4 linked regions of the Pelodiscus sinensis genome follow. The protein of the gene in region 1 purifies or fractionates together with the protein of each later gene. This does not show direct contact. Links are inferred from orthologs where the notes say so. Each region holds a gene or a part of one and is shown in the gene's direction. Other genes may lie near its edges.

Evidence for each region.
Region 2: the proteins of EXOSC10 (region 1) and EXOSC7 purify together in Homo sapiens (affinity purification with mass spectrometry; 6 studies listed by BioGRID and IntAct, counting the BioPlex papers as one, with this or other methods). This does not show direct contact. The link is inferred for Pelodiscus sinensis from reciprocal best matches to the Homo sapiens genes EXOSC10 and EXOSC7.
Region 3: the proteins of EXOSC10 (region 1) and EXOSC2 fractionate together in Homo sapiens (co-fractionation; 9 studies listed by BioGRID and IntAct, with this or other methods). This does not show direct contact. The link is inferred for Pelodiscus sinensis from reciprocal best matches to the Homo sapiens genes EXOSC10 and EXOSC2.
Region 4: the proteins of EXOSC10 (region 1) and EXOSC9 purify together in Homo sapiens (co-immunoprecipitation; 7 studies listed by BioGRID and IntAct, with this or other methods). This does not show direct contact. The link is inferred for Pelodiscus sinensis from reciprocal best matches to the Homo sapiens genes EXOSC10 and EXOSC9.

Annotation. Positions count from the first base shown.
Region 1 is NC_134733.1:11,594,737-11,601,951, forward strand, and holds the start of EXOSC10 (exosome complex component 10), read left to right. Parts: upstream 1-4,213; 5' UTR 4,214-4,247; coding exon 4,248-4,400; intron 4,401-4,563; exon of another isoform or gene 4,564-5,858; coding exon of another isoform or gene 5,859-5,963; intron 5,964-6,506; coding exon 6,507-6,643; intron 6,644-7,153; coding exon 7,154-7,215. Other genes in the region: serine/threonine-protein kinase mTOR, read left to right, coding at 224-329, 1,027-1,042. UniProt on the Homo sapiens protein: Catalytic component of the RNA exosome complex which has 3'->5' exoribonuclease activity and participates in a multitude of cellular RNA processing and degradation events.
Region 2 is NC_134712.1:178,144,312-178,152,047, forward strand, and holds the start of EXOSC7 (exosome complex component RRP42), read left to right. Parts: upstream 1-4,717; 5' UTR 4,718-4,962; coding exon 4,963-5,019; intron 5,020-5,417; exon of another isoform or gene 5,418-5,432; coding exon of another isoform or gene 5,433-5,441; intron 5,442-7,736. UniProt on the Homo sapiens protein: Non-catalytic component of the RNA exosome complex which has 3'->5' exoribonuclease activity and participates in a multitude of cellular RNA processing and degradation events.
Region 3 is NC_134732.1:13,764,864-13,772,578, forward strand, and holds the start of EXOSC2 (exosome complex component RRP4), read left to right. Parts: upstream 1-4,700; 5' UTR 4,701-4,809; coding exon 4,810-4,934; intron 4,935-7,000; coding exon 7,001-7,102; intron 7,103-7,669; coding exon 7,670-7,715. UniProt on the Homo sapiens protein: Non-catalytic component of the RNA exosome complex which has 3'->5' exoribonuclease activity and participates in a multitude of cellular RNA processing and degradation events.
Region 4 is NC_134715.1:37,047,816-37,054,743, forward strand, and holds the start of EXOSC9 (exosome complex component RRP45), read left to right. Parts: upstream 1-3,921; 5' UTR 3,922-4,015; coding exon 4,016-4,081; intron 4,082-4,223; coding exon 4,224-4,318; intron 4,319-5,135; coding exon 5,136-5,255; intron 5,256-5,380; coding exon 5,381-5,483; intron 5,484-6,469; coding exon 6,470-6,607; intron 6,608-6,928. UniProt on the Homo sapiens protein: Non-catalytic component of the RNA exosome complex which has 3'->5' exoribonuclease activity and participates in a multitude of cellular RNA processing and degradation events.

The DNA of each region.
Region 1 (7,215 bases):
CTGTGATGGATCATCGAAAACACTAGTGTTCTAAAGGTTTCAAAATAGATTCAGTATGGATTTTGAGGTGTCATCTTTGAATAATTCTGTGACAAATATATATTTATAAGAGGAGAGAGGGTCATCTTCATATCGCTCCACAACTTGCCACCCAAACTAAACTATGTAATTTGGATTACATCCTTCTTTAATGGTTTTTTTTTTTTTCACTTTAATTGTAAAGGCCGAGACTTCTCTCACGATGAAACTCTGGATGTACCCACGCAAGTAGAATTGCTTATTAAGCAAGCTACTTCGCATGAGAATCTCTGCCAGTGCTACATTGGATGGTGAGTCTGTCTTTAAACTGTCCTTTCAAAATCTTCTCTCCCATTTCTCTGAAATAAATAGTGGTATGAGTTTATGGAATGGAGAACAGTCAAGTAAAATATTATTAGGTTTATCTCAATAATCATTCTGAGGATGGCTGGGGAGATATTGTATGTAAGCTTGTAAACTTTTGTGACCATTATATTAAATCTAACAAAATGCAAATTAGTTAGATTTGTTAAATCTAGCAAAATGGAAATTTGATTTAGAATCATCACCGCGGGCACTGCCCGTAAGCAGGCAAGCAGTCTGCTACTAAAGAAAAGGGGCTTATTTAAATGATGATCAACTCAGAATTTTTAATCATTTGAAACAAGATGTTCCTATTGTATGTAGATCACCAATTGCTAGTTATAGGAGGGAAATTACAGAGTCTAATGTCAACAAGCACACTTTCACAATGCCTTCATCTTTCTGAGATTTAACTGTAAATTGTATGCAAATTATGAATCCTGGTGGGCGATTTGGGGGGGATTACAGACATTAGGAATGTTAGGGATTAAGAAGCATTTTCTGTCTCATATCCCATTTTCAGTGTCCTTGTTATTTTAGAAAGGTTCCTGGACATTGGGGACCTAAGTTCTTTTTAACATAGTCTTTGTTTTTATGGAGCAATGGCTAAGACTGCACTTAAAGTATTACATTTGTCATCTTTAGGTGTCCTTTTTGGTAACAGAAGATTCCAGAGTATCCTCAGCCTTTCTTGGAGGCTTTTGCACTCCAGATATATTCTTCTACAAACTGAAATCTTGGACTGAAATACAGCCTGTCATATATTTCAAAATGTAAATTAAGAGTTATTGTATATTAAATGTTGGTTTAAGCCAATTCATAGCTGCTGTTGAAAAACACAAGTTATATGAAACACAAGACTTGATTTGGGTTTCCAGAACAATGAAGACTGACTAGACCACAAATACCTGGTTCACTTGGTCTTTGAGGAACTGGTGATCCATTACAAATAACAAAATACGGGTTTTGACTTGACTTACAATGTAACTATACTAAAATATTTGCAGCTGAATCATTCCCAGGTCAGTCCTTTTGGCGTGGCTGCAGTGAACTCAGTGCCCTCATGCGAGAATGCACATTTAAGTGTGGGACAGAGCTGGAAGGTAGAGAGCAAGAAGAAGGAGGAGGTTTTTTGTCAGTATTACCCCATTATCTCACCTTTCCCAAAACTCTGTACTCTCACCAAAAACAGAGGGAAGGGATTGTAGTTGAAAGATGTGTGTCTGACTCCAGGGGTGATTTATCTAGCACATTTCAGATGTGAAATATAGAGATAGATCCAGGGTCAAAGCCTCTGAGCCAGTCAGAGCAGAATGTCTCAAAGAAAGAGGGTAGATGGCAAGGTAAATCAGAATATCACTTGGGAACTTCCCACACTGGCAGACTGAAAAGCAGTGCTGGGAAATAATTAGGGAAAACTGAATACTCAGCACAAAAAGCAGAAGGGAGAACTGGTCATACCTGGAAATGAAGAATAATGCATATTAAACATGAGGGTGAAGGTAAATAAAGTTATGATTTATTAATAAAACATATTAAAATGCACAAAATACAAAAGCGTAGCCATGTTTAGATGCCATGTTGTATTTGAATATTTTTGTGTCAATAAAATACACCAAAATGTTAAAAGATTGACTGGATTTTGGTTATTCCAAAGCATTTCTTGTGGAGAGCACAACTGAGACACAAAGGTATTACATTAGACAGCGGTTCTCAAACTATGGGTCCTGAACCTGGTTTAATGGGGTCACCAGGCCTGACATGAAGACTTGCTGGGGCCGAAAACAAAGCCTGAGGCCCACTGCCCAGGGACAAAGCTTATAAGGACTTTAGCCCTGGGTGGTGCAGCTGCAGTAACAGGTGTCCTCTCTGGGGCTGAAGCCCTAGGGCTTTGTTTTTGGCCTATGGACCTGGGGCAATGGGGATCAGATTTTGGTCCTTTCTCCTAGGGTTGTGCAGTAATTTTTATTGTCAGAAGGAGATTGGAGTGCAATGAAGTTTGAGAACCCATAGCAGAAACCTACAGGAGCCACAAACACGGTTGGCAGAGTATGGGGTATCACTAAAAAACTTGGGGTACCTTTATCAAAGGAGTTTAACTGTTAATAAACTTAGTTGCGTTTCATCATCAACAATAACCATGGGCTCAGTGCCCGTTGGTGTCCAATGCCTCCCTCACTATTTCCTTCCATCTTTCCCTGTCCAGTGCGGAGTGGCTTAGCTTCTGTAGACTAGCTCCGCACCATTTTACTATATAATCTACCCATTCTCTGTGGGGTCTGCCTCTCCTATTCGGACCATCCATTATGCTGAATACCGGGGTCTTAACTTTTCGCTCGTCGTTCATTCTGCAGATTTGCCCGAATAGCTGTAACTTCCGTTGTATAACTTTCTGCAGTAGGTTCTCTTTCAGCTATATCTTCCTACATAATTCCGCATTGGTGATCTTCTGCACCCATCCTATTCTCCAGGTCTTTCTATAACAGCTCCTCTCAAAAGCCAATATCCTTCTCTTGCTGGAAACTAAAACAATGTTCTTAAGTGGACTGTAATTTGGTAAGAATAAAGTTTCTTTATTCTAGCTTTTGGGGCATTTTTTTCTCGTTACAAGAAACTGATTCTGAGAGACCAAGTACATAGAATTTTAATCTTATCATTGTGGTGTATATGGGGAAGGGATGGTGGTTATGCTGTTTCTTCTTAGCAAACATTTTCTATTGATACAGATTCGAAGATGCTAAGGTTAGAAAGATCCATTATCATTTTGTATCCAATACTACACTAGCCACAGAAATATATGGGAAATACCAAGGCTGTGGCTAGACTGCATCCCTTTTCCGTAAATTTAAATCTCCCCCGCTTCATTTGCATAAACATAACTGCCGCTTTTTTCCGGCTCAGAGCTTTGCCGGAAAAAAGCACCAGTCTAGACACGGATCTTTCGGAAAATAAAGCCTTTTCAGAAAGATCCCTTATTCCTATTAAAATAAGGAATATGGCATCTAAACATTTAAATCCCCCCTTCATTTGCAATTGCGATGTGTCTAATTTGCATCCCTTTTACGGAAAAGGGATGCAGTCTAGACACAGTCCAAGTGTCTGGACAGGGATAGGGAAAAAAAGTTTCACCTGTTTTAATCTTCATCATTCCTGCTTTGAGAGAACCAGCTCCCCAAGATTGTATACTGGTGGAGGAATGTCACTGGTAAGAAGCTGAGGTGTAGTCTCCATCTGCTGGTAGACTGAAGTGTGTGCCACGCATCTAACCTGTACAGAAAACTCCAGGAATCAAAGCCAGCTCACCCGCGTGCCCTTATGTCAGGCTGCAGCCTGGTCAAGATTAGACCGGGTTGTCGCAGGAAATGTCCATTTACAGAAAGGGCTTAAGCCCTCCCGATGGGGAGCAGCGTGGACACCCTCCAAGGTGCAGCCAAGCTGCTGCCCAGAGGGAGGCGTGGTACGGGACAGGCTCGCTGCCCGAGGGCCGCAGGTGGGGCAGCCGGCAGTAGGGGCTCCTGGAGCTCAGCCAGACGGGCACCTGCCCTACTCCCCAGGTCACAGCGGCTTTGGCTTAGGCCGAGAGTGGCTGAGCTCAAATGGGGGGGAGGGTGGCGTATAGCCAGTGCTGGGCTGAGCGCCCCCGGAACACGCCGCAAGGGGCGCTCCAGGACCCTCGCTCGCTCTAGACCAGACTAACACGGCTGCATCGCTACCGCTCTTAGGCAGGGACCCTGCAAGTCTGCCGCCCACACCTCAATGCGCATGCGTCTAGCAACACTTCCACCATACACACTCCCCCCACCCTTTTTCCGGTTCAGTTATCGCGAGACTAAGCCATTGACGCGTCACGTGGGACCGCGCGGAAGATGGCGGCTGCCGGCGGAGGCGGGAGTCGCAGCGCAGCCGTTAAGACGAGCCAGCTAATAGACGCGGGGAGTGGCGGCAGCACGGAGGAGCCGCCGGGCGGCTGCCCAGATACCGTTCTACCGGGGTTCAGGGATGCTGACTCCTTCGTCAAGGTGCGTGAAGGAGTCGCTGCAGACTACTACTCCCAGCCTGCTCTGCGGCAAACCCTGCAGCGGGGCATGCCGGGAACTGTAGTTCCTTCCCTCCCCCCACCCTGCTGATGCTGAAGCCTGAGGGGAAGCTGCCTGCACTGGATTTCCCAGCATTCTCTTTGCCGGGTCATGGAGGATGGCCCTGCCGCCCCGGGGCCCTCGCTCTGAGGGGAAGCGGGGCCGGGAGCAGTGACCCTGAGCCCGCCGCTGCGCCTGGGCCACCCATCGCGGCTGCGCGGAGGAGGCAGGGGGAGCCTGGGGCGACTGCGTGGGGGTTCGGCCCCGCTGCTGCAGCAGCCTCTGGAGCTGTGACGGACCTTACCCCCCCCCCCCCCCCACAGCTCCTGTCTGCCCGCCCCTCCCTCTCCGATACGGCCTCCCGGTGTCTGGGCGCCGCCGCCTTAGCTCCTTTTGCCCTGGGAGAGGGGGGCCCCTGCAGCCCACTGGCCTGACTTGTGTCACGTTTGCAGGCCTGTTAAATGAAGCGGTGCGAGCCGCGGGCCCTGGGACTAGCGTCGTGCACGCGGGCCTGTTGTCTGTGTGGGCCCCGGCTGCAGTCTCCTGTTTTCCGAATATCGCACTGTCTTCCCATTCCTGGGAAGTTGTCCGCATAACCTTTCAAATTAGCCACGGCAGCGGTTCTCAAACGTCTTCGGCTCCGGAGCCCTTTACATGTGTAAAAATTTATGCGGAGCCCCAGCGGTCCACTGATTGTATGTGTTGTACCTATCGATGTTTCCAGTTTGTCAACCTTGCAGAGCCCTGGGGCTCCGCAGCCTTTCTCAAACACTGAGCTAAGGCATTCCCTGCAGGGGAGTCTGGAGAACTAGAATCATGGTGGTGAGATAAATAGGACATAAACACCTGTAGTAGCTCATGAATGGGCTGTGGTGCTGAAAGCATCCTTAAATTTAGTTATTTGTCTTAACAGGAAAAATTCAGAAGAAACCCACAAATTTGGCAGCACTGGTGTGGTGGGATTCTCTGTATTCTTAAATTATCACTATGGTACAGCAAGAATGGCTTTCAAAATGTGTTCAACCGTTAGACCTTAATTTTAGCATATAGATGAACTTTTAAAAGGAATTGTTAACTGAAGCTTGACAGAGTGTTCTACAAATTGATTTACAAACCATAGTGTTGCCATCACTACAAACTTAATTCCTACATGTTCCCTCACCCATGCACCTTATAGACCAAAATCTGAGCTACACAAGGTCTACACAACAGAGTTTAGATTGATGCAAGGCATCTTACATTGACCTAACCATGAAAGTGTCCAGACTTTCACTCCTGCCAACTTAACTGCCCCAATAATTTCACCACTTAGTAGCATAGAATCAAAATTAATGTAGTTACATTGATTCAGTAACAGTGTACACATGACATTATTGTATAGACTGTTACTAGCTTCCCTAAATGCTTCACAGTGACAGTAAAATCTATACAAATGCACCAGTAACACAAGGAGCAAAGTGTAAACATGCACAAGCGATGCAATTATTCCAGCAGTTGTGTACCAGTGTAAGTTAGATTGATTTAATTTTATAGTCTAGATATGGCCTAGAGCAATGGTTCTCAAACTATGGGTCACAAGCCCATTTTAATGTGGTCACCAGGGTTGGCTTAGACTTGCTTCAGCCCTGAGCCCTACCATCCAGGGCCAAAACCTATGGTGGTGGGACTTGGGTGGATTCAGGTTTCAGTTCAGAAAGGGTTCACAGTGCAATGACATTTGAGAAATCCCCCCCCACCTTAGAGACAGCACTTCCTAGTTCTGAAGTTGTAGCCATTATACCCATATTTTTATTAAATCAAAATATCTTCGGTGTAAGGTTTTTCTTTTATTTTTTTAGTATTAGTTTAATTAAGTCAGGATGAAATAGTTGTAAACACTCTTGGTTAAAAAGGCCTAGTTGTGGCTTGGTTTAGGAATAGTAATGTAAGTGCGAGGAATGAGATTGTAATAGTAATGTAAGTGCGAGGAAGGTGTTCATCTGGCAAGATCATCAAAAAATGAAAATACATTGTGGAATTATATTTTCTTGGTGTGATGCTTTTTAACAGCATGCGCTTGGCACAGTGGTCGCTGCAACTAAAGCATCTAATGGGCTACCTCAGCCTGGAGATGAATATGACTTCTATCGCAGCTTTCCTGGATTCCGGGCATACTGTGAAACACAAGGTGATAGGCTGCTTCACTGGTAAGGACTTTTTAGCTTTCTTATGCCAGTGGTGAAAATCTGTGTTAGGGAACAGAGAAGTCTCTTCTTTGCAAATTTCAAAATAAAACAATATATGAGCATTTTTATTACAATTTTTCTGTTGCTTTTTAAAAACGTCAGCTGCTTTTCTGATTCATGAAATTTAAATGGTAACAATAAAAATGGAGTCATTCATTTTACCTCTGTAAAGTAACTGTAACAATTTAGGTGCGCCACTGAGTAGGTATGGGCTGATGGAAAGGTGACTTTTTAACCAGAAGACCCAATCTAAGTTCCATAGACCCAGTAAAGAAATTAATAGCAATACTTAGTACTTACTCATAGCTTCTCATTTTCAAAGTTCTTACAACAGTATCTAAGGAGTCTGTGTCTGATTTTGTAAGTCTCGGAGTAGCCAGAGCTCAGAAAGGATCTTAACAAATAACACCAGTTTTCAGAATACCTGCTTTTAATGTCATTTAAAGAGTAACTGAACTATTGTTTTATTAGTATGAGCAAGGTGATGCAATATCATGGTTGTCGGAGTCACGTGAAAGATCATAACAAAGCAA
Region 2 (7,736 bases), on another chromosome or scaffold:
GGATTTAAATATCCCCCGAGGCATTTAAATAAAAATGTCCGCCGCTTTTTTCCGGCTTTTAAAAAAGCCGGAAAAGAGCGTCTAGACTGGCCCCGATCCTCCGGAAAAAGTGCCCTTTTCCGGAGGCTCTTATTCTTACTTCAAAGTAAGGTCTTCAAAGTAAGAATAAGAGCCTCCGGAAAAGGGCACTTTTTCCGGAGGATCGGGGCCAGTCTAGACGCTCTTTTCCGGCTTTTTTAAAAGCTGGAAAAAAGCGGCGGACATTTTTATTTAAATGCCGCGGGGGATATTTAAATCCCCCGCGGATTTCCCTACGACGACTGCTGAAATTTACATGCCCCTTCCGGAAAAGGGGCCAGTGTAGACGTAGCCAAAAAGTCTATCTTAAAAGAACATTACAGTCAGAAAATCAAGTCCCCAAAATGACAGACCTCTTGTGCACATACATTACAATGCAGCTCTAATCACATACAGTTTTCCCACTGAATCCTGGCCTCATTCGATATGCAGGACAGACTTACTGAGCGTGAATTAGTGTTGTGCACTAAAGAAAACTCTTGCCTGAGCCAGACAGTTCTGACATGATGCTAGTCAAGTCACTTACACTTTTTACAGGTAGTCACTAATTGTGAGTTTTTTATTTTCTGGGTACTAGATGCAAGATTCTCAACTGGAGTCTGATTTTCAAATGTGCCGAACACACTCAAACACAGATGCTGATTTCCCCCGGGTCCTGAACCTACTCCATCCCTTTCCCCAAGCTTACACCACCTCTGTCCCGCCTCTTCCCACCCCAAAGAGTTGGCGCTTATTCGCACAACTGCAGCTGAAGTAGATGAGAGCTATGCTTTGAACAAATGAAATACTATATATAAGGATGTTAAAATGCTATTATCTGGCTAAACAATTTGTATTGACTATATGATTAGTCGATAAGCGCTGCTCTGCAGAGCTGCAGTGAGGGTAGCTCCAGGGCTGGCCCACAACATTTTGGCACCCAAAGTGGGGAGCTCAAATGACACCCCCATGCCGCCTTGCTTGGGCCAAAACTTTGAAAGGTTTCAATTCTGCCCTCTTCCTGTTCTACTCCTCTGCAGAGAAAATACACATGCACCAGCAGCAGACACAATTTTCTACACTCTGGGTCCTAGTGGTGACCCCCCCCCCCCCTCAGTCTGGCACCTGGGTAGCTCCAGGAGCCCACTTGAGCCGGGACAGAGCAGTCCTGGCTCATGCTGGCTCCAGAGCCAACCGCACTGTGGTTCTGCATTATAAATGCAGTAAGAGCTGCTGGGCTTTTATTACATTTAAAATGCAGAGGCACAGTGATCAGTGCGAGATGGGAATGCTTGGTCCCAGCTTGCAATGAGTTTAACAGCCCCTGTTTACAGAAGACAGCCCTGTCTGCCACGGACATGGGCTGGTGCCAGAGCAGCCTGTCTGCGGCGACCAGCCCTGTCCACCGCAAACACAGACTACTCAGACACCAGCCCCTGTTCATGGCAGACAGGGTTGGCAACAGACAGGGGTGGCTGCTGAGCAACCCCTACCCATGGCCCGGCCTGGCCACCCTGAACAGGGGTTGCTTGGTAGCAACAGCCCCTGTCTGTGGGGAGGCCCAGCTCCCCGCTAGGACCCCTGCAGACGGAGGCTGCTTCGTAGCAGTGTTCTTTATCCCGCACTGCTGCCTCTGATAGAGGCAGCGGGGTGAGGGGCAGGCAGCACCCCGGAGACAGTGCTGGGAGAAACAGGCTTTTAAGATGGCTCTCCACTGGCTCCTGTCCCCCTCTTGCTGCCTCTGAGACAGGCTTGATGCCTCTGGGCTGCCGCAGAGAGCACAGGGTGAGTGGGGACTGCTTTTGAAATGTACTAGAGCCCCACAGGACTCTTGTACATTTCAAAAGCAGAAGAGCCCATAGAGGGAACTAGCATAAGCGGGGACTGAAGCAGTCCCCACTTGTGCTGTTTCCTGCTGCACCCCCCGCCAAGATGGTGCAAGGAGGGGGAAGCGACTAGTTGAGTCACTACTCGACTATCTGATAAGCATTTGCTATTCAGATAGTCAACTAGTCACTTACATCCCTAACTATATATTACCATGTACTCAAAAAAAAAAAAATCAAATCCTAGGTATGTTAAATTGAGTAGCAAAATTAGTAGATACTTTTCACTTTAATCTCTCTCAGCTTCAGTTTCACATCTGTAAAATGGTGATATTTATACTATCTCAATCATACATGGATTTTGTGAAAATAAATTCATTCATATTCCTGATTCACTCAATACAGTGCGAAGCATCATACCAAAGCCCATGAGGCAATTAATAATTCTGTCTTTACAGCAGGATTTGATTGGCATGCATTAAATAAGGCACAAGGCCACACATGGAATTATATGGAAAAAACAAAATATTAAAACACTCATTAAAGGGTCCTACCAAATTCACTGCCATGAATTTGGGGCTGGACTCGATGACCTCCTGAGGTGTCTTCCAGCCCTATGCTTTGATGAAAAACTCATCATGAACTGTGAAAGCTAGTCTCCCCTTGTAAAATCTGATCTTTTGAGTTTTTATACCCTATATAATACAGATTTCATGGGGGAAACCAAGTTTCTCAAATTGGGGGTCCTGACCCAAAAGGGAGTTGCAGGGATCATAAGCTTATTTTAGGGGGGTTGCAGTATCCCCCCCTTATTTCTGTGCTGCCTTCAGAACTGGGTGGATGGATTGCAGTGACTGCTGGCCTGATGCCCAGCTTGAAAGCAGCACCCCACCAGCAGAAGTGTAGAAGGGTGGTAATACCATACCATGCCATCCTTATTTCTCTGTTGTTTCCTTCAGAGTGGGGTGGCCAGAGAGTTGCTGACTGAGGATCTAGCTCTACAAGCACCAGTGCAGAAGGGTGGCAATACCATCCTTATTTGCACTGCTGCTACATGCAGCTTGGCCTTCAGAGCTGGGTGACCGGCCAGCAGTCACCATTCTTCAGCTGCTGAGCACCACTGCCAGTACCAGCACCACAGAAGGGTACTAGCAGTACTACAAAAACCCTCTTGCAAAAACCCATTCCTTTTTGGGTCAGGACCCCCACAGTTACAACATTGAAATTTCAGATTTAAATAGTTGAAATAACAAAACCTATGGTTATGGGCGTTGGGTGAAAGGCCAGCTGGGGAAGACAAGCCCGAGCTCTGTCCCCTTCCACTCGAGGTTTCTGGGCCATGTGCAGAGCTGTGACTGTCGTACTGCAGCCCCAGCCCAGCTTTCCTTGGCGGCCGGGGGGAAACTGGGCTGCCGAGTTGCAGCCCCATGCCTCCCCAGTGGAAAGGGGAAGCCGGGCTACCAAGCAGTGGCCCGATGCCTCCCCGGTGGCTGGGGAGAGCCAGGCTGGCAGCCCCAGCCTTAGGCAGTTGGTCTTGTGAGCAATTTTGGGAAGGCTCTGCCTTCCCTTGCCTAAATTACTGACCACCCATGCCTATGGTTTTTTTTTAATCCTGTGACTATGAAATTGACCAAAATCAACAGTACATTTGGTAGTGGTCTACTCGTTAAGTGAGAGAAGTGCCTTTGAGATGATACCTTAGTCACACGATCTGTTGGGGTGGGAGGGAGGGGCTGAGCTCCTTGTGGACAGAAGTTGCTGCCATGGAGCAGCCTCTGTTCACGGTAGGCCTAGGTAAGGCTGCTCTATAGAATGCACAACAACCTATCTGCAGTGGGCCCAAGCTTGCCATGGACAGAAGCTGTTTCATAGAGGGGGGCAGCACAGAGGAGCTGGTGCTGGGAGGAACTGACTTTTAAGCCAACTCCTGTCTGTTCCCCACCCACCCCCGCTGCCTATATAGCAGGCAGTAAGTGGGAGAAGGCAGATCCGCAGGAGCCACTGATATAGAGGCAGCAAGAGTGTGTGTGTGGGGGGGGGAGATGAAATGCGTGTAGACCACAGGATTAACCGATAGCCAGGTTTATCAGTTAATCTTGTAGACATCTACATGATGATGGGGAATAGGGTTGCCAGATGGTTTCAGAAAAAGTACCGTCCCCCCTTTGACAGTTAAGCAAAAATAAAAATAACAGCATGGCCCTCTTAAGAAACATGTGGTAAGGCTTTTTGGCCCTAACAGGCTACCAGCAGCCACCCGCCATCTTGCCTCCCTGCACTGGGCCAGACAACTCCCTGGTAAGCACTATGGTTGCCAGGCTGCCTCCTTATTGAGCTGGACAGCCCGAGATTTTTCGCCTCCTGGCTGGGAAAAAATCAGAAAGTACCGGACATTTTAGGTGTCAGGTATTTTTTGATTTTTTTTATGGGACAGGAGGCGAAAATACCAAACTGTCTGGTTCAATACTGGACCTTGGCAACCCTAATGGGGAGCTACCTTAAAAGCTGGCTCCCAGTATGCAGGGCTCCTGAGGCGCTGACAGCCACACTGCTCTGCTGCCCTGTATGAGTTTGCAGGGCTAGGCAGGTCGTTGGCTCCCTGGAAGTGGGCTGGCAGCCAGCGAGTGACCGTGTAACCGGTTTGACCGGCTACACGGTTACAGTAATAACGGGTTTTGCCATCCCCAATGTGCAGGGCTCTGCATCCAGGCACAATGCGGACCAACAACGCCCTTGCACTAACACGCGCACCCCTCCAGCAGGCCGCCCAGATTAAGAGCTGCGCATGCGCACACGTGGCGCGTCCACCCAGAGCATCCGGCTCTGCCCTCTGCGCGCCTGCTATCCCCACGTGGGAGCAGCTCCCGCGCAGCCCCAGCCCCGCAGTGACTCTGAGTCACCCACACAGGGCGGTGCACGCGCCCGCCCGCAGGCATCGCACGGCGCGCGCGAGCGGTTGACGTAACTCCGTGCGGGTGGAGGGACGGCAGGGAAGCGACGGGGAAGTTAGCGTCGTCGCGTTTTGGTGACGGCATCACCAGGCGGCGGCGGCCGGTGTGTTTGGAACCCGGCGCGCATCATGGCGTCCGTGGTGCTGAGCGAGGCGGAGAAGGTTTACATCGTGCACGGTATCCAGGTAACGGGGGGCGGGGCTGCGCGGGGGGCGGACAGTTGGGTGCCGCCCTGCGGCCGTGGGAAGGGGCGCCCCGGTCTCTGTTCGCCCCCCCCCCCCCCGCTCAGTTCACGGCTCGTCGCTGTCTGAGCCGCGCCGCCCGAAACTCAAACCCGACTGTTGGCTACGTAGATACAATTCCTGTGACGTGTCTGTCGCTCGTGCACTGACTGAGTGTGGGGGAGGGGGAGACGCCCCTGGGCCAAGGGCACCAGCTGGTCCCGGGGCGGCCGAGCGGAGGCCGCGTAGCTGGCTGCGGGGCTGTGCAAGCGGCCGGGTGCAGGGTAGAGATGTAGCCCGGGCTCCTGTTTAACCCTCACCCTTACTGCAGCCCTCTTGATCAGGCGGGGGGGGGGGGGAGAGCCAGCGCATCTGAGATGCTGCCTGTGAGTAGGGCTGTAATAGTGTAGTCGATTAACTGATCAGCAAAAGCTTGTAGGTTAATGCTCCAGACGACAAGCATTTCCCTCCCACCTCCCCTCGCCACTAAATTTCTTAGCAGGGTGGCCAGCAGCCTGGCTCAGTCTCGGCTTGCAACGGGTCTGGGACCTATCCCTGCTGTGGCTCTGCATTTAAATTGTATTAGGAGTTGGGCAGGTAGGCAACCCAGCTCAGTTCTGGCTCATACTGGGTCCGGGAACTCAGACCCTCCCACACAGGGATTGCTACCACTCTGCACTACTGCCTCTTTATCAGACAGCAGTGCAGGACAATAGGCAGCCAGTCCGCAAGGCAAGCTGGTTTTTAAATTGGCTCCCCTCGTGGATCAGCTCCTGCGGCTGCCTCTAAAATAGCAATAGAAACACGGAGTGGCAGGGGGCACTGGCTGCCAGTCCCATCCTTGGGGGCTATAGAATAGTTGACTAGCCTATAAGAATTAATGAGGTTACTCGACTATTAAGTTAATTGATATTTAATATCCCCACCTCTAATAAAGAGGCAGCAGCCTGGGGAGGGAGGCAGGATCAGGTGCTCGTGGAAAGCCAACTTAAGAGCCAGCTCCCGCCTCCTCCATCTGCAAGTATGTAACTGCTGAAATTTTCAGCGGTTACATGTTTACCAAAATAAACACATTTTTGCACCATTAGTGCAGAGCCTCTCCAGAAATGGCAAGTGTGTTTGTCCCTGGGGCCACCTGAGCAGCTGACCTGGAGCCAGCTGCTTGGGGCAGCCTGGAGGTCCACCCAACTGGCCACTGCAGAAACACATTCTTTTGCTACATTTCAAAGGAAGCCCTGCCTCAGCCTTTTAAATGTACAAGAGCCCCAGTGGGGCTCTTGTATATTTGAAAAACAGAATTGCAGCACGAGCAGAGACAGCTTCAGTCTCTGCTCACGCCATTTCCCGCTGTGCCTCTACCTCCCCTGCCCCCCGAGGAGATGGTGCTAAGGGGAACCAGCTTTTAAGCTGGCTCCTAGCACTGGGACCTGCTCCCCCACTTGCCGCCTCTCTCGGATAGAGGCAGCAAGTCAGGGGAAGCGACTAGTCACATCACTAGTCGACTATCTGATAAGCATTACATCTCAATGTATAGACATTCTTTTCTTAACCTGTGTATTATATAATTCTAACATTAGCTTTAATAAAAATGTTAAATCTGAGGACCCAACCGAGATCAGAGCCCCAATATGCTAGGTGCTACCAAAACACAAAGCTCTTTCCTTGAAGAGGTTGCTATGTAAGGTCCTGATTCTGCAATAAGCTGTGGACATAAGGTTCTTGTTTATGCATAAGGAGCTGCATTGAAGCTGATGAGGTCTGCCCACATGGAGCTTATTGCAGGATCAGGGCTTTAATGCACAATACAAACTAAGTGTAGAAAATGAGTAGTATTATGTTCTATCTCCATTTTATAGTTTATGCAGGAAGTCAGTGTCCGAACTGGGAATTAAACCTGTGTAACCCACTCTTTTCTCCCTGGGTTATTCAGGAGCAGGCCACACTCATCTGTGTGCCTGGATGCCTGATGTTTTTAACATTAAAGGAGATCCAGAGTGTCCTAGTGATTATGTTGGATAGTTGGGGATCCCCTATCTATCTTCTTGCTTTTAAAGCAGGCCTGGGCAAAAACCAGCCCTTGGGCTAGATCCAACCTGCTAAGCCATTGGATCTGGCCCGCAGATGCTGCAGGGAGCCCCAGGCAGGCCCCCCACTTGCCTTATCCTATGCGCACATTGCTCAGAAATGCAGCTGTGGGGCGTTTTTTCTTTAAAAACTGAGTCCAGAGGGGAGGGGGGAAAGCTTTTGGAGCTGCTCTCATCCCGGTACAATCCCATTGGCCGGTTTCTGGCCAGAAACTGGCTGGTGGGAGCTGCCTGTTTCAATTACAGGCAGCCACAAAGCACAAGGTGCTCCAGGCTGCAGCCTGTTTGGGGACTGGGCAGGCAGAGAGGCTGATGCAGGAATGGCTGCTGGCTTGTAAGTCTCCTGGCCAGATCCTGCCTCTGGCACCCCAGCCCCTCTTTCTCCAACCCTCTGACCCTCACTCCTGGGCCCTACTCCACATACCCAAATCCTCTGCCCCCCTCCTGTACCCATATCCCCTGCCAGATCCAGCACCCCAATCCCCTGCCCCAGATCACAATCCCCTACTGCCCTAGCTCCCAACCCAAATCCCTGCACCCACTGCTATACCCCAATTCACTGCCCTAGGTCACAATCCATCCCCCAGCACCCAGTCT
Region 3 (7,715 bases), on another chromosome or scaffold:
TATTATATATTATTTGATGGTATATGTACACAGCTGTAAATACATTTGTACCTCTCTCGCTTGTATTCTAAATAAAAATTACTTGGAACATTTATCATTTAGAAGGTTATTCGTTTGGGAGTTTTCTTTCTCTGTATGTGCTAGGAAAGAATAATGATGGTTTTGGGAAAGGGCTAGTGGAGCTTCTCCTAGTGGGTATAATTGATAATTTGCTTCTTTTACCCCTGTACGGTTTACAGGATCCTAGCTTGTAGCTGAGTGAAATGAACAAAAGATCCTGTTATACAGGAGGTCAGACTAGATGATCAAAATAGCCTCTCTCCTGGCCTTAAAATCTAGCATCGGTTTCATGCATTTTGGACAGAGCATACTGCTCAATCCAGATAAATTATTTTCAAGACCCATCATTGCATCTAGAAAGATGATGGTTTTAAAATATGGAAAAAACAATTTATGCATATGCATGTGCACAGAGCCAGAGACACAAGGCACTAATAGATATGCAAGCACAGTGTGTTGAACCCATTTTCTCCTTGCTTATGGTGTTGAATATGTGATAGGAGGGTGAGATCACCTGCGAAGATCAGGTCTTCAAGGGACGAGATGGGTGTCCATTTAATGCCTCTTGGCATATCTTCTGTTGTATGCTGCATTATCCAATTGTCTCCTCTTCAATTTTGTCTTCAGTAACAATATTGAAGGGAATTGCAGACATGACACATCCCAGATATAGTCCTGTTTTGATTTCAAACGGAGCTCTGTGATCAACATGTAACCCAGAGGCACTGAAATCATTGACCCGGGAGAGTGATGTCTGCTATACAGCCTTCACTAAGCGCCAGATAGCTTTTTAGCTCATGTGGTCGAGCCCCAAGGCTTTAGCCCTTAATGTCTCTGGTTCAATCCTACAGACAACCTGGGCTCGTCAGCTCTACAAGCAGAGGCTCATCCGGGATTTGACTCGCCCTTCCCAGTGATCTCAGTGCTTCTGGGTTACATAAAGTTGGAACAGAAGTTTTTGATGATGTTGATTATATGGAGAGGGATTCCCTATGATTTTAGAATGCACCATAGGCTGGCCCTTTGCATTCCTTCAAGACGTGGACTTTGCAGATGATTTTGCTCTTTGATCGCATACCAACAAGAGAAAAACAACTCAACTCAACACATTCAGCCAGCAAATTGGACTGAAAATCAACTGCAATAAGACAAATATCATGACTTTTAATATTGCCACACCATCACCTGTACAGCTGGAGGATCATGTTCTCACCAATCTAGAATCATTCACATACTTGAGCAACACCATCAGCCAGGATGGTAGGAACAAGCCAGGGCATCTGAACAGACTCAGTTAAGCCAGGAACCCCTCCAGGAGTTTAAATACAGTCAGAAAATAATCAAAATGCCAACACCAAAATCAAACTCAAGAAGTGTCTACGCAGCGTCTTTTCACCATTACTTTAGCGGGAAGAATGCTGGGGGATGAGAAAGTATCACATGTCCAAACTGTCTTCATTCCATACAACCCACTGCCGAACAATCTTTCATATCTTCTGACCCAGAACAATCTCAAACCAAGGTCTATTCACACCGTGAAGCCAAGCACCATCATAGCCAGGAGGCTCTGGAGATGGATTGGCCATGTGCTTCAGATGGAAACTGATTCTATCACCAGAGTAGCAATAAGATGGACACTTGAAGGCAAGTGAAAATGTGGCTGTCTGAAAACAACATGGCAAAGGGCTGTGGAAGCTGAGCTGAAAAAAATGGGGCACAGCTTGGGAGCCATTGAAAGACTTGCCAGAAACAGACAGGAGTGGAGGAGTTTTATCACTGCCCTAACTACCAGAGAGCTACGTCTACACTGGCATGGTTTTCCAGAAATGCTTTTAACAGAAAAGTGTTCCGTTAAAAGCATTTTCGGAAAAGTGCGTCTAGATTGGCAGGACGCTTTTCCGGAAAAGCACTTTTTCCGGAAAAGCGTCCGTGGCCAATCTAGACGCGCTTTTCCGCAAAAAAGCCCTGATCGTCATTTTCGCGATCGGGGTTTTTTTGCGGAAAACACTACTGTGCTGTCTACACTGGCCCTTTTCCGGAACAGTTTTCCGGAAAAAGACTTTTGCCCGAACGGGAGCAGCATAGTTTTTCCGGAAAAGCACTGATGATTTTACATTAAATTGTCAGTGCTTTTCCGGAAATTCAAGCGGCCAGTTCAGACAGCTGGCAAGTTTTTCCAGAAAAGCGGCTGATTTTCCGGAATAACTTGCCAGTGTAGACACAGCCGAGGTGTAAAGGGAATATGACGATGAAGACAAATTCCTGCAGAGGTACACAGGACTATTCCCACCTCCTTCTGGAATTAACTAGCCTTTAAAGACAAACACAGCCATGGATCACAGATCAAGATTTGCTAGTGCCCTGCAATGCTGAACAGGGCCTGTTTGCAGCATACCATGTTCTAGAGGCAGTGCACAGCTGCTATCCTAATCAATTCCTGTCCACCGTGCTTAGGATACATGTGGGTATCACCAAATGGTTCTCTTTGCAAGATCAGGTCTACAAATCTTTTTAGCTTAACTTTGGAATGTGCGGACTTGATTCTTTCTCTCTAACAGCAGAGCTGTTAGGAGTAACACCGCTCTCAGGGTGAAAACAGAATCCCACTCTGTAATTCAGCACAGCAGCAGAATCGCAGAAAGAAATACCACAATCTCGTTCTTATGAACATGTACCAGTTTATGTTTACATAGTGCCTGGCCCCATGGTGACCTTATCCTGATTGGACCCTCGGGGTGCTATCACAGTGCAAATATTTAATCATAATAACAGCTGTTGTTTGATATAGCCCTCTACTCAAGTGGGGAAGATAATTTAGCTTACCAGATGGAAGCCTGTGCTGCATTTAAACTTAATGCAATGGGAAGCACTGGCTGATGACCATAGTATGATCTCTCTCTTAAATCCCTAAGGCCAGGTCTACACTTACCCTGAGATCGAGACTTTGGAGATGGATCTTCCAGGATTCAATTTAGCAAGTCTCCTAAGGACCTGCCTATTCAACTGCTGATAGCTTCCTTGTCGACCCCAGCACTCCACTGGGTCACAAGGAGTATGGGAAGTAAATGGGAGAGTTTCTCCCATCAACCATCTACACTGGGGATGCTGCAGAAATTTGACTTAAGGAATGTCAACTCCAGCTATGCTATTCTCGTAGCTGGAGTAGCGTATTTTAGGTTGACTTTCTGGAGTAGTGTAGACCTGGCCTAAGTGACAGTATGGCTAGGAAAATGAAAAGAGCTGATTTTTCTTAGTTGTAAAAATTAATTTCTTAATATTACATCCTTTTTCCTTTCTATATTATGTAGATAATACATTCTTGCAGTTTGAGTCAAACCAGTGGCGTTCACCCCATGGGCCACTTGCATCCCAATCTGTACACATCTGCCTCAAGGCCATACGGGTAGTATATACATCATGGATGTGGCTCATGTAGCACATGGAGAGCTGCATGTGTGGCCCACAATGGTAAATAGGTTGAGAACCACTGAGTCAGATACTTCCTGCCTTACATGGCCATGTAGCAGTGCTCTGAGCTGTTAAACAGCTGCTGTGTATCTGAGTAGACAGTGACAGCTCATGAAAGGGTTGTTGAGTGCTTGGGATCTGGTTTGAAGGAGCAGGGACTAGGGTTACCAGATGTCTACAAAAAAAATACCGGGCACACTTGATCTCAGATCGGAGGAGGGGATGGGACCAGCCGGGAAGGGGTGGGGGGGGAGCAGGGCTGGCTGGGGGAGCTGGGGGGTGGAGAACCGGCCAGCAGGAAGCAGGGCAGGCTGGGATGGGGGAGGAGGGGAAAGTGGGGGGGGGAGAGAATCGGCTGGCAGGGAGTGGGGCTGGCCCGGGCACATGCAGATCCCGGGGTGCTGCTCATCCCATGCACGGTCCCAGCGTGGTGCACGGGCGAGTCCGGCTCCGGAGATTCAACCCCGCTCCGGCCCTGACCCCTCTCTACTGCGTAGCTGCGTACTGCCTGGCTGCTAGACACACTCACGCAATGTGGACTCACGCAGTGTGAGCGTGTCGACCAGCCAGGCAGTACACAGCTACGTACTGATACTCATAATAATACAACTAACTTGATTAGAAAATACCGGACATTTATAGGTCTGGTATTTTCTCAATTTATTTACCAGACAGAAACCTCAAATTCTGGACTGTCCAGTTCAAAACCTGGCAACCCGAGCAGGGACTTTAAGGAAAACAATCATTAGCACGAGAATTGAGACGAGTGGCAAAAGCATGAGAGTTGGCAACACTGCTTTGCCGCTCCCCAAGGTTTGGCAGGCAGGCGCCTGCTTGCTGTTGGGCATGTGTATAGGGCCCGTGGGCTCCATAGGGATGTGGGGGGCGAATACACCCAATGCACAGAGTTCCTATGAAATACTGTCTCTGGGACGTACCAACATGTGGCCTCTCTTAGGGGAGGAGGCATCTTCCTGTAGCCTTAACACCTCCCCTCCAGCACTAGAGGGCACCACAGCCTAGGCAGCTTGCCAACACTAAACATGGCCCTACCCTAGTCCTGCCTACGCAGCGAAGACTATCCCCCCCTCCCCTGCCAAGATCCAATATGGCCTCCCCAGCCTCATCGCTGCTGAGGCTCGTCCAGCCCTCATTCAAGATGGCGACGCCCCAAGCCAACAGGGCAGCTCCCCGCGCGTGCTGTTGCCAGTAACAGACATGGCGGAGGGCACGGCTGATTCGGACGGGCGCTGAAGCCGAAGGAAACGGCCAGGAGTTAAGATGGCGGCAATAGAGGTTCGGTTGCCGGTGGCCCGTAAGCTCGCGGGCCAGAGCCAGGCAAGAGGGAGCGACAAGCACCTGGTGGCTCCGGGGGACACGATCACCACAGACACGGGCTACATGAGGTGAGGGGCCTCCCCCAGGTTTCTTCTCCCTCCGGTGGGGCCCTTCCCTTATCTCAGAGACGGAGCCTATGGATGGGGCAGGGCCATAGGGTGTGGTACGCCCCTCCCCCCCATTGCATGGGCTGTGGGGCAGAGCCCCTTATCCCCTCCCCGTGGTATGAGCTATGGGGCAGCGTCTCTTATCCCCCCGGACATGGGGCTGTGGCACGTCCCCCCCCCCATTGCATGGGCTGTGGGGCAGGGTCTCTTATCTCCCAACCAGGGGGCTAGGGTGCAGCCCGATCTCCGTCCTCAGGGTCTGGGGCAGGGTGTTTTGTCCCCCTGCATCCCTGTGGCAGCCCTTTATCCCCACCCATTCCAGCAGCTAAGGCTATGGGCATGGTCCCTGTATGATATGTGAACAAAAGTGGTTCTGAATCCCCAACATCCTGGACAAATGAGAGATTTCTGAACCCTGGGTTCTCTTGATCAAGTCATTTCACTTCTTTCTGCCTTAATTTCCTTACCTGTAAAAATGGGTTTTAGGAGAGGGTTTCTTCCCTCACACCATCCTGGTGGCAGGGGTTGTTGGGAATTAACAGAGTTTTCCTTCAGTCCCAGTTTTTTTTGAAGGGCTGCTCTTTCCAGTGCTGTAATTAGGTATTTTTTGTGCCTGGGGCAAAATATTCATTATGCACCCCCCTCTTCCTTAAGTTAGCATGTGTCGCACTTTTTACTTTTGCAGCTTATTATTTTTACGCTTTGTGCTAGGGATGTAAGCAACTAGTCGAATAGTTTACTACTTAGTAAGCCTAGGCTTCTTGGGTAGTCAAGTCATTAGTCACGTCTCTCTCCTCCCCCCCTTGCTGCCTCTATCAGTGGCAGCAAGGGGGGGAGCAGGAGCTAGCGCTGTGGAGGGGAGCCAGCTTAAAAGCTGGTTCCCCCAGCACCATCTCCGTGGAGGGCAGGGGAGGCAGAGATGCAGCAGGAGACCGGGCATGAGCCGGGACTCGGTTGTTCTGGCTTGTGCCCAGTCCCAGATGCTATGCCTCTGTCTCTTAAATGTAGTAAGAGCTGCAGCAGGCTAACCCTGCTGCAGCTCTGCAGTTTCCCCCTTATTGACCAATCAAGTAGTCGATGGAAATTCCATCAACTACTCAATTAACTGATTAAATGCAATTTAACATCCTTTCTTTGCGCTCTTGATTATGATGTGCCTGGGGTAAGCACCCTGCTTGCCCCATCTTTGTTATGGCTCTGGCTCTTTCTTCCCTGCCCCATTCTACCCCTAGAGTCCAGTTGCAGAAAATGACTTCTCCTCAGGGTTGGGGAATGGGGCCCCAAGGAAGAGTTCACGCCGTGGGTCATTGTGGTTATTCTGGGAGGCCCTGAACAGTTGCTTGCCTTGCTTGGGTTTCCCCTCCAGTCCACCTGACTGGTGAATGAAGCGTAGGGTTAGGCCAGACAATAAGCGGCTTGAGCATCTGCAGGTATGGCTGCTTGCAGCTTTTGTTGGCCACAGCACATTGTTCCCAGCCAATGGGAGCTGCAAGTGGCCTTACCCACGGACACGTAGGTAAATAAAGTGTCCGGCGACCTACCAGGGGTTAACCATGGTGAACTGTGCCTGGCTTGAGGGCCACTTATTGCCCACCCTGGATTAGGCCCTTTTAGACCTTAATGTAAACTTCTCAGTGTCCCAGACTGTTACTTGCCTTATGCTTAGAGCTGGTCCTAATCACTCTGTGTAGAGCTGTGTTGAGAACGGAACTGATCAGACTCACTAAAAGCTGCACCATTTGTGTACCTGAGGAAGGAGGCTAAGCGGTGTCACCACATGAAAGTATCTTTATTTCACAAACCCTTCACTGGGAATGGGGAAGAGAGAGACAGATCTCATCCCTCCCGTGGTGGAGAAATAGCTTCCTTTCTCTTTCCTGTTTTAATTTCAGAGAGCTTGGGAACTCTTTTCTCCTAATAACTCTGGGGCTACTTTAAGCCTGGGGTGTGAAAGCATGGATTGGCTAACCCCAGGGTGGTAGAGATGGCAGATGTGTGTGGATGTTTGATGTATCCTTTTACGGCAGGGGCCATGGCACGTATATGGGAGATGAGAAACTTATAGCATCTGTCGCAGGCGCTGTTGAGAGAGTGAACAAACTGATCTGTGTCAAAGCTCTGAAAACCAGGTGAGAACAGGCTTTGAGACCAAAGCCATTTTTTGAACCTATTTAAAAATCAAATGTTCCCTCTGTGTGGGATATTCCAATTCCTAGCAATGTGTTTCCCACTTAAAGACTTAGAGAAACAGGGCATAAGCCAACAGATGGTCTCAGTGTGTGTCCAACAGTGGGAGACATTTGGAAATGGGTTGGGGGTGAATGTAGAATTTGTCAAACTCTATCAGATCAATGCTTCTATCTACACCAGATCAGTGGATTGTGTAACCATATTATTCCTGGATTGTCAGACCAGAAGGGTCCATTGGACCATCTAATCTGACTTGTGTAACGTAGGTCAGAACATTTCATCCACTAACTCCTGTTTTGAGCCCAGTTATAAATAATAAATGTTAGTACTGGAAACGTTGATGCTGCAGTTTGCACAGACTCCAGTGCTGTGACTCTTGCCAGCTTGGCCCTGCTTGTGTTTTTAATCAGTGTCATGCTGATACGAGTACCCAAGTCAAGCAGTATCTGAGCTACTCCGGGAAGAGGTTTGCTTGAATAGAATTTCCCTTTTTCTCTTGCTCCCAGATATAACGGGGAAGTTGGTGACATTGTGGTTGGGAGAATCACAGAG
Region 4 (6,928 bases), on another chromosome or scaffold:
TGAGAGGAGAGCATTGGGTCAGTGAGCCACTATTGTCTGGCCAGACCCTGGCTGGATTTCCTGCTCCCTGCAGAAGTAGAGGAAGGAGATGGGGTTTGCCCAGTGCCATCACCAGTCAGAAAGCAGAACAAGGTAGGTGACACAGTAAGTGCCAAAATCACTATGGACCACACATACTCACCTCACGTCTCTGGATCCAGGAGGGAATGGCAGAGTGTCTGGCCCTCAGTCACTCTTCGAAAGGAGTACGTTGTCACTGACCCAAGTTGTATCAGCAAAAATACATATAGAATCTTAATTTAAAAAAATAAAACGAATAAAGACCAAAATAATCTAAATAAAGACCTCTGTTTAAAAAAATATTACAAGGAAAAAACCAAAGCAGCTTCTCATTTTTCTGTTGAAGCTAAAGTGATTTAAAAACCAATTCCAAACATATGGCAATCCTATAATCTTATCCCAACCTCTACACTTTTCACAATGGAACAGTAGGGTCTTTTGCAGATTGAGATGGGGCTAGGATTATTACTAAAGGCCAAATCTATAAAATGCATCATATACTGTTGTTAAATTATAAAAACACAGAGTTTGTGAAAGCATTAATTCCACTAGCTCCTGTATTTATAATTTATAAACTAAATCTAGAAACAGTTCAGCATATAATAGCAAAGAAAGTTAGAAAAAGTTTAGACGCACAAATACTCAAGTTAAAAGAAGGTCAGGACTAAATTGGAGTTTGTAAAAACACCTTGGAGCTCTGAACAGAGAAAGAGAATAAAGCACTGAAGTTAATCTTCACTGTAGTGTTTAGCTTGATCAGTAGTGTTTAACCTAACATATTTTGTGCAAAGTATAGACAAACGAGAGCAATAACAGAAATTACTAATAGTACTTTCAAATTAGAACTAAAATCTAACTCATAAGAAAAAAAAATCAAAGCTGCTTCTTTTGAAACCCAAAGCTTTTGCAATTAGCAAATAAGGCTGCAGTAATGCAATTGGCTCCCCATATGTCTGCACCTGTGATGAGTCAAATTGCAGGATTGAGGACAAAAGCTAGACAAGTAATGAGGCTCAAATTACAATCTATTTAATATTGCATGTTTGCTGTGTAGACAGTGGGTATTATTTTGCACCATTTTTAACACAGCAAAATGATTTTTCTTTCCCTGCTTCACACTAGTTTGGAACTGTATAGTATTTTTAGTTTTTGGTTAGTTAATATATTATTGGACTGTACTACAAGATTATGAATATAAGGTAGAAAATGACCAGTGGCCTGTCTTATGATAGCTATTTTATTCATGGTTACTTCAGACGTAGCCAAAACTATCCTCAAAGATGTAACTGTTAATGTGGTACGGCTAAAGCTCTAAGTCTTCGCTACTTCTACATATTGGATACATTCTTCTTGTGGTGGTTTAGCCTTTTTAACCAAATCTCTACCAGGTATGGGTTGAACATTTCTACTCCAGCACGCTCTGGTCCAACATCAACCATGGCATGATTTTAGTTAGCCAGATGTTCACTTATGCTGGGTGTGGCCAAATTTCCCATGGTCCCGTAAATTGTGTTTACAGCCAACAGTCCTGACTCTCAGTGGCTATGTCTACACTGCACAGTTATTTCAGAATAAGCCATTCTGGAATACAGGCAGTCCCCGAGTTACGCAGATCCGACTTATGTCGGATCTGCACTTACGAACGGGGTTTGCTGCCCATCTCCCTGGTCTGCTGGAGACCAGCAGACCAGGGAGACGGGAAGCAAAGCCTTTGAGGACGCCGGCAGCGGGACAGCCGTGACGCGTCTGGGCTGTCCGCTGCCCGCGTGCTCCGCGGCTTTGCTCCACGTCTCCCCAGACCAGGGAGAAGGGGAGCAAAGCCGGGGAGCACGCGGGCAGCGGACAGCCCAGACGCGCCATGGCTGTCCCGCTGCCGGCGTCCTCAGAGGCTTTGCTCCCCGTCTCCCTGGTCTGCTGGTCTCCAGCAGACCAGGGAAATGGGGAGCAAAACAGCAGAGCACGCGGGCAGCGGACAGCCCAGACGCACAGACCAGGGAGACGGGGAGCAAAGCGGAGCAAAGCCGCGGAGCACGCGGGCAGCGGACAGCCCAGACGCGCCGCGGCTGTCCCGCTGCCCCCGTGCTCCGCGGCTTTGCTCTGGATGCCTGTGGTATAGCAGCCGGGGCGCTGCCGGTTGGTCCCGTAGCGCCGCTCTGGGCGCTACTGGACCAACCCGGCAGCACCCCAGCTGCTCTGCCCCAGGCGTCCTGATTCAGCCACTGCTGGTCAGTTTCAGCAGCGGCTGAATCAGGACGCCAGGGGCAGAGCAGCTTGGGTGCTGGTGGGTTGGTCCAGTAGCGCCGAAGAGCGGCGCTACTGGAGCAACCCGGCAGCACCCAAGCTGCTCTGCCCCAGGCGTCCCCAAGTCAGCTGCTGCTGAAACTGACCAGCGCTGACTACAGGAAGCCCGAGGCAGAGTTGCTCTGCCCCGGCTTCCTGGAATCAGCCGCTGATCAGTTTCAGCAGCAGCTGACTTGGGGACGCCTGGGGTTCTTAAGTTGAATCTGTATGTAAGAACTGGCGTCCAGATTAAGCCTGTTGAAACTGATCAGCGGCCGATTCCAGGAAGCCCGGGGCAGAGCAACTCTGCCTCGGGCTTCCTGTAGTCAGCCGCTGGTCAGTTTCAGCAGCGGCTGAATCTGGATGCCAGTTCCGACTTACATACAGATTCAACTTAAGAACAAACCTACAGTCCCTATCTTGTACGTAACCCGGGGACTGCCTGTAGTTATTCTGAAATAGCTTATTTCAAAATAGCACACCAACACTACAGGGAAGTCTCAAAATTAGTCCAAGGCAGGCTTCCCTAATGTAGATGTGTTATCTCAATTTAGAGCCTCAGGAAGAATAATTAAGAATGGCCCTAGCGAGGGGCTATTTCGAAATAGCACAAGTGGAATGTCTACACATGCCTTATTTCAAAACAGCTATTTCGGAATAGGCGTTATTCTTCTTAGAATGAGGTTTACAGAAGTTGAATTAAGCTGTCCATTATTTCAAAATCATTTCGAAATAATAGAATTGCTGCTTAGCTACTCAGTTATTTCTGAATAACAGCCATTCTTCCGAAATAACTTTGCTGTGTTGACACACCCAATGTTCTATCTTGTTACTTAGCTCCAATTTACCTCAACTATCTAACCTCCCCCAAAATAAAATAAAAAACTTAAATAACAACAAATGCTCCTGCAACACCTTAGAGACTAACCAAAACAAAACAAAAAAATGTGGATGATATGAGTTTTCATGGGCACAACCTACTTCTTCAGATGGCATCTGAAGAAGTGGGTTATGTCTAGGAAAGCTCATGATAGGATCTCTATTTTTGGTTAATCTCTAAGGTGCGACAGGGCTATTCCTTGTTTTACCCTTTTTCAAAAAAACAAAAAAGCAGCCATGTCCTAACACTTCAAAGACTAACAAAGCAGTTTATTAGGGGATGAGCGTCGTGGGGCAGACCCGCTTCTTCAGACCATATTCTGACAGTGAGTATTGTTTAGGTACAGATTGCACAGCTACCCCGAGCCTGCCACTGTGCAGGAAGCAGCGGCGATGCTGCTAGGCAGCACCCCCCCTGCCTACACAACGGGGCAGCGTGTTGCGAGACCGGCCGGCGGGGTGAAGGTGGAATGTTCGCGGGCGCACCTGGCTGGGCCGGACACATTTGTCCGCGCGTCCCACGTCACAGACACCCCTCCCCCCAGCTCTGCAGGCTGTGGAGACTCAGCCTGCGGCTGCTGACGTAGAATACCGGCGCTGTGGCCCCAGACGCGCCCGGGCGGCGGCGACGTCACCACGGCTAGCGAAAGGAGCGGTGACGCTCTCCTAATGCCGTGCCTCGCCCCCTCCTTTCCGCGCCTGCGCACGGCTGTCCGCCTGTCCCGTCGCCTCTTGATGACGTGCGGGAGGCGCGCGCGCGGAGAAGCGGGCCCGGAGACCGCCAAGCCTCGCCAGCATGAAGGAGACGCCGCTGTCCAACTGCGAGCGGCGCTTCCTGCTGCGCGCCATCGAGGAGAGGAAGGTACGAGAGAGAAATCCCCCCCCCACTCGGCGGCGGCGCCGCCACCGGCCAAGCCCCCCCCTCCCCTTCCCTCCCATGGGCGCTCGGGGCCCGATGCTGCGCCCGCCCCGCGCAGCTGGTGACTCTGCTCTCGGCTCCGCAGCGCTTGGACGGGCGGCAGAGCTACGACTACAGGAACGTGCGCGTCTCCTTCGGCGCCGACTACGGCTGCTGTGTCGTGGAGCTGGGCAGGACCAGGTACCGCGGGGAAACCCCGCCCCGTGCGCCCGGCGCAGGGCTCCCATGACGCTCGCGCACGCGGTGCGGGGCCGCCACAGCCTGGGGGAGGCGACAGCGATGAATGGGGGGAGGGGGGGAGAGAGGAGAACAAATTGAGATCGGTCTCCCTGGAGGTGTCCGAAGCTACCGCGTCGGAAGCGGCAGATGAGCCAGTCACGTGCATGTAGACCTGACCTTGGCTAGTGGCAACTCATTAATCCCTCCGGCCCGACATCTCGAATTAAGCAAATTTGCAGCACCTGTGCGAAGTAGGTGGTAGCTCTATGGTATAGACTGGAGGAGCTGAAGTAATCATAAGCGATGTTTCCCTTAATCTTTTCCCATCCATGTGTGGAATAAATTATGTTATGCACACTGAGGCATGTTTGAATGAGCACCACCGGTAGGAGGAAAAAACTAGTTGTAGGCATTCTTCCAATCAGCCAGAAGGCCTTTAAATCTCTCCTGAGCAAGCCACACAAGCACACAGCTTACACTGGACACAAGTAAATTGTTGGCACTCACACAGCAGTAGAATTGATAATAAAGCCGAGGAATTTGAGTGTCCAGTGTGTGCTCTTCACATCTAGCTCTTGCTTGTTCCCTATTAGTGACTAGCATTTTAGCTGTATGGCCAAGGCTTACATAAGCAGTAATAAATTGGAGCCATGCAGTAAAATTCAGGTGCAAGTTGTTTCAATATTAAATTTAATTAAATATTATTTTTGTTATCTATACTAAAGTATTTTGTTATCTATACTAAAGGGTTTGTGTGGGGGGCGGGGTTCTTTTGCAGAGTCCTTGGACAAGTTTCATGTGAACTTGTTTCTCCAAAGCTAAATCGAGCTACAGAGGGTATACTTTTCTTCAATCTTGAGCTCTCTCCAATGGCTTCACCATCTTTTGAGCCTGGCAGGTATGTGCCCTTTCCATAGTGACAACAGACAAGGATGGCATAAGGAAAGCTATTCAGTGTCATATTTATCAGGATTATTATAACTCACAACTGATATGTAACCAATCTCTTGTTTGTTTTTCTAGGCAATCTGAGCTTTTGGTGAAACTGAATCGACTATTAGAAAGATGCCTCAGAAACTCAAAATGTATAGACACTGAATCTCTCTGTGTTGTTGCTGGTGTAAAGGTGTGAAAAACACTAATAAAATCAAAAGATCTTTAATACTAGAGGACTAATATATTGCATGTAGCGGTCAATCTGTCTTTGAGGACCAAAAATTCTGATTTTATTTTAAAAGACTATGGTTTCAGCTGTGCAAACATAGATATGTGTCTAACTTTAAAGATTGTACATAGTAGATTAAAAGTCAGTGGGACTGTTGGGATATGTAAAAATGAATAGGGATCGGGGTGTGGGGGGGTAGATACAATAGTGATAGGGGTTCTAGCCAGAGCAAGCATTTTGGCTTTTTGTGTATATTTTTTTCCCTTTTGTCCTTGAAGCCTAGGGAGATAGTTGCACTGAATACCGTTTTCTTTGTTTTGTCTTTACACTTGCTCTGTAAAAATACTTGAAGGGTCAGAGCACTTCCCCCCTCCCTGTAAGCTGCTAATTAAGACAGTATGTAATGCTAATTTAATTAAAAACCAGTAAACAACAAACAGAGGTTGGCATAATTGTATTCATCACCTGCTTATTAATATTCATTGTATGGAAGTTAACTTTGCTAAATAAGAGTTTATAAAAAGTAGTAATAAATGTGAGAATTAACATACCAAAATAGATAAACGAGTGTAACTGGTGCCAAATCATTGCCACTTGGAAAATTTTGTTGGGGGTCCAAAGTAAACATGCGTAAGCAATACAAAGGTCCCTTTAACCCATCCGCTCCTGGGTCACCTATTTTCTCGAACAGGTACTATATACATGCTAAAGCTAATTACTTGCATGAAATCATATTTCAATTTTAATTTATCGCAATCAGTATTGAAAGTAGATACTATTTCTCTTCAGATATGTTTTATCCTAATTTTTTGATGATCAAGAAATAAATTTATACTTCCATTCAACATGAATAGTAAAAAGTTATTTTGAAAAGGTGTTGGAAAATCAATACAAGTTACCAGTCATACAACAGTTTCATGAATTGTCACCTATTTTTTATAATTTAGGTGTGGCAAATTCGTGTGGACCTGCATTTGTTGAATCACGATGGAAACATTATTGATGCTGCAAGTATAGCAGCAATAGTGGCTTTATGTCACTTCCGTAGACCAGATGTATCTGTGCAAGGAGAGGAAGTAACGTTGGTGAGTAGGATAAAAGGAAAGCAGTGGTATTGTTGAAGTTAAAACATCATTCATGATAGCTTCTGTATATAAAATGGATCTTTGTCAATAAAGACAAATTAAATCTTAGGGGAAGAGCTACTTAAAACAGTTCTTGGTTTTCAGTTTGAGAGATCGTAACTATTTAAACATTAAATAAGGAAGACAATTTTATAGCACTCTTTTGTATTTCTCAATCAAACTGGAAACGCTCCATTGGCTCTATGGTGGATGCAGTATAGTTACCTACATAGGTAATATTTTGGAAAACATTTTAAAAAGAGCAAGAATCAAGTTTTGATG